Callithrix jacchus: one gene and its partner. The protein of the gene in region 1 binds, or shares a complex with, the protein of each later gene. Links are inferred from orthologs where the notes say so. Each region holds a gene or a part of one and is shown in the gene's direction. Other genes may lie near its edges.

The links. Proteins that work in one complex are often made in the same cells at the same time.
Region 2: the proteins of CAPN2 (region 1) and CAPNS1 are in contact, whole or in part, in a crystal structure (PDB 1KFU), measured with the Homo sapiens proteins. The link is inferred for Callithrix jacchus from reciprocal best matches to the Homo sapiens genes CAPN2 and CAPNS1. Residues at the interface, in NP_001739.3 of Homo sapiens: Ala2, Gly3, Ile4, Ala5, Lys7, Leu8, Ala9, Arg12, Glu13, Glu16, Phe60, Arg366, Arg416, Arg417, Arg418, Arg420, Asp494, Ile516, Phe551, Glu575, Lys578, Val581, Asp582, Asp585, Gly588, Ser589, Gly590, Gln641, Leu642, Gln644; in NP_001003962.1 of Homo sapiens: Thr85, His86, Ser88, Asp111, Asp112, Met113, Glu114, Ser116, Thr118, Asp142, Arg145, Ser146, Ala149, Val150, Met151, Asp152, Ser153, Asp154, Thr155, Thr156, Gly157, Gly160, Phe161, Glu163, Asn206, His208, Leu209, Met212, Ile213, Arg215.

Annotation. Positions count from the first base shown.
Region 1 is NC_133520.1:5,054,699-5,058,345, reverse strand, and holds part of CAPN2 (calpain-2 catalytic subunit), read left to right. Parts: intron 1-735; coding exon 736-854; intron 855-2,049; coding exon 2,050-2,183; intron 2,184-3,543; coding exon 3,544-3,647. UniProt on the Homo sapiens protein: Calcium-regulated non-lysosomal thiol-protease which catalyzes limited proteolysis of substrates involved in cytoskeletal remodeling and signal transduction. Proteolytically cleaves MYOC at 'Arg-226'.
Region 2 is NC_133523.1:32,298,955-32,302,601, forward strand, and holds part of CAPNS1 (calpain small subunit 1), read left to right. Parts: intron 1-2,016; coding exon 2,017-2,085; intron 2,086-2,185; coding exon 2,186-2,264; intron 2,265-2,405; coding exon 2,406-2,522; intron 2,523-3,647. UniProt on the Homo sapiens protein: Regulatory subunit of the calcium-regulated non-lysosomal thiol-protease which catalyzes limited proteolysis of substrates involved in cytoskeletal remodeling and signal transduction. Essential for embryonic development.

The DNA of each region.
Region 1 (3,647 bases):
ATACTCCCTGCTGGGGCCTCTTTTCCTGTCTTGGACCCTCCTCCTAGGAGGCGTGCAACGTTTGTCCCCTTCCTGTCTCACACTACGTTTCCTTTCTCTCACTCAACTCCCCTTTATAAATGTGTGTGTTTATTTAGAGATGAGGGTCTCCCTCAGTTGCCCAGCATAGAGTGCAAATGGTGCGATCATGGCTCACTGCAGCCTTGAAATCCTGGGCTCGGGGGATACTCCCACCCCAGCCGCCCAAGTATTAATATTATAGCTGGGACTCCAGGCGCACACCAGCACACCCAGCTCAAACTCCTATTCAAAGCCTGTGTGCTCAGAAGCCTCTGCAACTGCGCTGGTTTCCTTCCCTCCACAGATGCTCACTGTGGAGCGTCTGCAGCTAATCAGGCAGGGCTGGGCTCTGAGGACACAGTTCAGCCCCCAGAGTTCTGGGTCTTTGAGGGAATGGAATTTCCCATCTCTGCCCAACCACAAACGCAAAAACATTTCTCCCTTTGCATTTCCCTCAAAACACTAGGTTGGTGCAAAACTCGCAATTACTTTCGCACCAACCTAATAGCACCCAACCCCCCTGACCCGACCCGCAGATGGAGGACTGCCTGAAACTTCACTCTGTCTATTCACAGGTTGTCTTAGACTTCAAGCCCCCAGAGATGGAGACAAGATTTTTAACATGCTCCTGGTTCTGAGACCCTCTGATAACAGCTCCTTGTGCTGTGTTCACAGGTGACTGCTGGCTGCTGGCCGCCATTGCCTCCCTCACTTTGAATGAAGAGATCCTGGCTCGAGTCGTCCCCCTAAACCAGAGCTTCCAGGAGAACTATGCAGGCATCTTCCACTTCCAGGTAACTTAATGGTTGACTCAGGTGGTTCCTCATCGGGTCCAGGGGGCTAGGAAGTCTCCTGGCTTGTCTGGGTTCGTCAGTTCCTGGTGTTCGCAGACTCCCAAGACCCACGCTGTTCTACAAAGGACGCTGGGTGAGAGCAGGAAGCTTTCTGGCTTACCCAATGTGGGACCCTGCCAGGATGGCCCTGGGGGGCTTCTTGGGACATGGAAAAGGGGAGGTAGAGCAAAGTATTCAGGAAATAATTCCCAAGTTAAAAAAAAAAACTGTATTATTTGAAGTTTGAAACAAAACATTGAAGTTCTCATCCTTTTATGCTGGTAAATGAGGAATAATTGAAAAAGCTGGCCGGGTGTGGTGGCTCATGCCTGTAATCTCAGCACTTTGGGAGGCTACATGCGTGGATCATTTGAGGTCAGGAGTTCGAGACCAGCCTGGCCAACATAATGAAACCCCATCTCAACTAAAAATACAAAAATTAGCTGGGCATAGTGGTGCACACCTATAGTCTCAGCTACTTGGGAGGCTGAGGCAGGAGAATCGCTTTAACCAAAGAGGTAGAGGTTATAGTGAGCCAAGACAGTGCCACTGCACTCCAGCCTGGGCAACAGAGCGAGACTCCATCTCAAAAAAAAAAAAGAAGAGAAAAGAAAAAGAAAAGCCAGTCAAGTTGCTGTGGCTCATCCTTGTAATGTCAGCACTTTGGGAGGCCGAGGCATATGGATTGCTTGAGCCCAGGAATTCGAGACAAGCCTGGGCAATATGGGGAAAACCTGTCTCTACTTAAAAAAAAAAAAATTAGCTGAGTGTGGTGGCACGAGTCTTTAATCCCAGCTACTCAGGAGGCTGAGGCAAGAGAATCACTTGAATCCGGGAGGTGGAGATTGCAGTGAGCTGAGATCACACCACTGCACTCCAGCTTGGGCAACAGAGCAAGACATGGTCTCAAAAAAAAAAAAGAAAGCCTAAGGTGCAGGGCAGAATGCTAAAGAGGCGGGCGTAGATTTGGAGGGATGGACGGGTGCCTCTGTATTTGCTTTTTCAGTGAAGACTTGGCCTGCATAGGCGTCCCAGGACGGGCTCAGGGAAGCTATTCCAGGGGATCAGGGCGAGGGGAGCCAGAGGCAGCTGAGGCTCAGAGTCCCAGCGCTGCCACCAGCTCCTCCTCCAGCCCACCTCTCCTCTTGTCCTGCAGTTTTGGCAATATGGCGAGTGGGTGGAGGTGGTGGTGGATGACAGGCTGCCCACCAAGGATGGGGAGCTGCTCTTCGTGCATTCAGCCGAGGGGAACGAGTTTTGGAGCGCCCTGCTGGAGAAGGCCTACGCCAAGTAAGTTGCCATGCCTCCCCTGGCCCCATGGCCTGCCCCCACTGTCCTGGATTCCAAAAAGACTACTTTGAGTGGAAGTCCTTTTCTATGGAAGGACTCCTTCGGCCAAAATTCGGCTCTAAATGCGAGGGGATAGTCCTGCCGTGCCTGGCCACACTGTACGCCAATAGATGACAGCTGTCACCATCTTTAGCCAAATGCACAGGAACAACTAATGGTACTGGTTGTGCTGGCCTTGAGAAGGGGCTCACTTCCTTGGCAGGACACATTCGTATCAACACAAAAAAAAAAGTTTTTGCCAATGGGCAAAACATTCATTGCAGAGGTAGGAAACTTGCCCAGAATAGATGTGACTGATTAGCAGCTGCTTCCCACCCCAGCTGCCCACAGTGGAGTTCGTCCAGTGCCCAGGGCTGCCCATTCTCAGTAGGAAGCCCCACAGCAGCCCCTCTCCAGAATGGCCCCATGTTGGCTGTGCTGCCCGACTCCTTCCATTAAAGTGACCCCACTCTAAGGCAGCAAGTGGATTTCTGTGTCTTACAGTCTCAATCCAAGAAGGAGGGGTCAGCTGTGAGAACCTGGGGGCTGAGGGCTGCTTCTGAGTCCCACTGCTCAATACTCGAGTCAGGGAGGTCACCGGGCTACAGCATCAGGAGTCAGGAGCACTAAGCCCTTGCCAACGCACTGCCTGTTTCTCAGGGAAACCGCTTCCATTATTGAATTGGTGTCCTTTTTTAAGCTATCAATGCCAAACGACCCATTAGTCCTCCCCTTTCTTGTCAGGATGTAGAAAGAATCAATACAGGAGTTTCATCCAGAAAATTACTAAGGTCCTTCCAACTCTAAGGTTCTCTGAGAACTTTTTTTTTTGATACAGAGTTTCGCTCTGTTGCCCAGGCTGGAGCGCAGTGGTATGATCTTGGCTCACTGCAGGCTCCGCCTCTGGAGTTTCAGCAATTCTCCTGCCTCAGCCTCCCGAGCAGCTGGGACTACAGGCACGCGCCACCACACCCAGCTAATTTTTTTGTATTTTTAGTAGAGACGGGGTTTCACCATGTTGGCCAGGCTGGTCTCAGACTCCTGACTTCAAATGATCCACCCACCTCAGCCTCCCGAAATACTGGGATTACAGGCGTGATCTACCACACCTGGCCTGATGATTTTTTTAAAACACAGAATACCAGGGAAATGTTAACTGCGGACACCATATCTTGCCTTCCTGGGCACCCCAAGCTGGGGACAAATCCAAGGAGAATGTGAGCAGGGGGTCCCTGGAGCATCAAACCTAAGGGATACTAGGGGGTGGGGGATGTACATCAGTAGTGTCAAGGGTAATGGTAGCATGTAACCCCTCTTGTAGGATCAATGGATGTTATGAAGCGCTCTCAGGGGGTGCCACCACTGAGGGCTTTGAAGACTTCACTGGAGGCATTGCTGAGTGGTATGAGTTGAAGAAGCCCCCTC
Region 2 (3,647 bases), on another chromosome or scaffold:
TTGAAGAGTGATTCTGTCATTGGGATGCGCTCGTTCTCCATCCAGCCTTGTTCCATTGTTGATGTGGAACTGTGATCATCTTTAGAGGGAGAGGCGTTCTGACTTTGAGTATTCTCAGCTTTTTTACGCTGGTTTCTTCCCGTCATTGTAAATTTATCCTCCTGTCTCTTTGAAATTACCAACTTTCAGATTAGGTCTCTTGAGTGGGTGTCCAGGTTGTTAGTTCCCAGGGCCAGAGCAGCGGCGTTAAAACTGATGGTGCTTTTCTGCCCAGGATTCTCTTGTCGGGCTTCCTTCTCGTGTTGGTAGTAGGCGACTCTGCCTTCCTGGGGCTCCAAACCTCGGTCAGAAGGGAAACCGGTCCTGTTCACTCTGCGCCGAGTGCTCTCGCGCCAAGGTGCCGTCACAGCGGCTGCGCCGGACTCTGGTGTCCTGCTGGGGACCAGTGCAGATCCTCCGAACCTGTTTACTTTGCTCCGAGAGCTGCCGCGCCAAGGTGCTGGCGGAACCACTGCACTGGCCACGAGAGTCGCGCTGGCCACCCTTGTGTTTCCTCCACTGGGGGATCTCCTGCTCCGTGAGCGACCAGAATTTGTCTGAAAGCGTGGCGTCCTCTAGTTCTCCGCGCCTTCCCTGAGAGCTGCAATCCCAGGATGTTAGCGATCGGCCATCTTGGATCATCCCTCTTTTTGTTTTTGAGATGGAGTTTCGCTCTTGTTACCCAGGCTGGAGTGCAATGGCGCAATCTCAGCTCACCGCAACCTCCGCTTCCTGGGTTCAGGCAATTCTCCTGCCTCAGCCTCCTGAGTAGCTGGGATTACAGGCATAAGCCACCATGCCCAGCTAATTTTTTTTTTTTTTTTTTTGAGACAGAGTTTCGCTCTTGTTACCCAGGCTGGAGTGCAATGGCGCGATCTCGGCTCACCGCAACCTCAGCCTCCTGAGTAGCTGGGATTATAGGCACGCACCACCATGCCCAGCTAATTTTTTGTATTTTTAGTAGAGACGGGTTTTCACCATGTTGACCAGGATGGTTTCGATCTCTTGACCTCGTGATCCACCTGCCTCGGCCTTCCAAAGTGCTGGGATTACAGGCTTGAGCCACCACGCCTGGCCAGTTCTTTGTTTTTCTTTTGAGATGAAGTCTTACTCTGTCGCCAGACTGGAGTTCAGTGGTACAGTTTCCTCTCACTGCAACCTCCACCTTCTGGTTTCAAGCAATTCTCCGGCCTTAGCCTCCTGAGTAGCTGGGATTACAGGCATGTGCCACCACACCTAGCTAATTTTGTATTTATAGTAGAGATGGGGTTTCTCCATGTTGGTCAGGCTGGTCTTGAACTCCTGACCTCAGGTGATCCACCCGCCTCGGCCTCCCAAAGTGCTGGGATTACAGGTGTGAGCTACAGCACCTGGCCTTTTTTTTTTTTTTTGAGACAGAGTTTCACTCTGTTGCCCAGCCTGAAGTACAGTGGTACCATCTCAGCTCACCGCAACTTTCACTTCCTAGGATTGAGTGATTTTCCTCTCTCAGCCTCCTGAGTACCTGGGATAACAGGTGTGCGCCACCACACCCGGCTAATTTTTATATTTTTAGTAGAGGCAGGGTTTCACCATGTTGGCCAGGCTGGTCTTGAACTCCTGAATTCAGAGTGATCTACCCACCTTGGCTTCCCAAAGTGCTGGATTAAAAGTGTGAGCCACTGTGCCTGGCCTATCAAGAATTTTCTGAACGGGCAATTAACAACTTTTTTCAGGCAACAAATTTGTACTTTAGAGTAGTTGAATATAATTCCTGATGGTTATGTTTAAAGAAAATCATTATTTAGAAATATAAGTCAACATATGTATGGATAAAATGAAAAATAAAACCACATGCCAGGTGACGTGATGAGGGCTGAGCAGGAGTTGAAGTGTCAGCCCTGGCTCCCCTGCTTGCTGTGTCACCATCGTGTCCACACTGCATGCGGTGCGTGCATCTGAGTGTAGCTGTCACTCTTCTTAACATCCTCCCACCAGAGCGACACCACAGGCAAGTTGGGCTTCGAGGAATTCAAGTACTTGTGGAACAACATCAAAAGGTGGCAGGTGTGTAGCAGCCCCTGAAATCCCTGGTACCCAGACCCCCAGCCACGGAGACACCATGCCCCACCATGCTCACTTGGACCCGATCTCTCTGTCCCCACAGGGCATATATAAACAGTTTGACACTGACCGGTCAGGAACCATCTGCAGCAGTGAACTCCCGGGGGCCTTTGAGGCAGCAGGTATGGCCGGCAGGGACGTGGTGGGGCTGGGAGTGGGATGGGTGAGAAAACCTCCACTCAGCTGGTCTGGGCCTGACTTTTGGGCATGGGAGTGGGTTGGGCCATGTGACCCCCACACCTGAAGGATGAAATCCATCTCAGGGTTCCACCTGAACGAGCATCTCTACAACATGATCATCAGACGCTACTCAGATGAAAGTGGGAACATGGATTTTGACAACTTCATCAGCTGCTTGGTCAGGCTGGATGCCATGTTCCGTGAGTGACGTCCCAGCTGTCTTCCTGGGTGGGGATTCCTGTGACTTCTGTGGGCCAACGTCTCCTCTAAACCTGACTGAGGTGGACGATGCTGGAGGCATGGCAGTGACTGAATCAGTCCTAGTTTCTGCCCTCATGGAGCGCACAGTCTAGTGGTGAAGAGAGAAGTCCCCAGACGCTGATAGTTCAGATTGTGATGGCTGGGAGAGGGAAAGCTCAGGGTAGAGTGATGGGTTGTGATGGGGGCAGCACAGGCAGAAGGTCTAGGGCTCTTGTTGGGGAAAGAGTGGGCAGAGCATGCTCAGATTGTGCTTGGGGAAGCCTAGAGGGCAGATGCAACCCAGGAGGCACCTGATGCAGCCCAAGGGGTCAGGGAGGGCTCCTGGAGAGGGAGCATTGAGTACTGAGGGATGAGGAGAGACTTGGTGAGAAGGTAGGGAATGCAGTTGCAGGCTGAGGGAACAGACTGTGCAAAGGCCTAGGAGGGAAAGAAGCTGGGGCTTCTGGGGCTTTTTGTTAGATTTTTTTCTTTTTTCTTTTCTTTTTTTTTGTTTTTTGAGACAGAGTCTCACTCTTGTTGCCCAAGCTGGAGTGCAATGGCACAATCTTGGCTCACTGCAGCCTCCGCCTCCTGGGTGCAAGTGATTCTCCTGCCTCAGCCTCCTGAGTAGCTGGATTACAGGCACCACCGTGCCCATAATTTTTTGTATTTTTAGTAGAGACAGGGGTTTCATCACGTTGGCCAGGCTGGTGTTGAATTCCTGACCTCAGGTGATCCACCTGCCTTGGCCTCCCAAAGTGCTGGGATTGTAGGCATGAGCTGCTGTGCCTGGCCAGGATTTATTTTAAGGAGTGCTTAAGCTGGGGTGCAGTGGGGAAGCAGACAGTTAGGAGGGGCAGTAGGGACTAGATCTTGAGGGCTTTTATGAGTTTTTTTTGTTTGTTTTTAAGAGACAAGGTCTCTGTCTTTGAGGCTGGAGTGCAGTGGCATGATCATGGCTCCCAAAGCCTCGATTTCCTAGGCTCCAGCCTCAGCTTCCCTAATACCTGGGACTACAGGTACACACACCATGCCTGGTTAATTTTTTAAATGTTTTGTGGATATAGGGTCTTGCTATGTTGCCC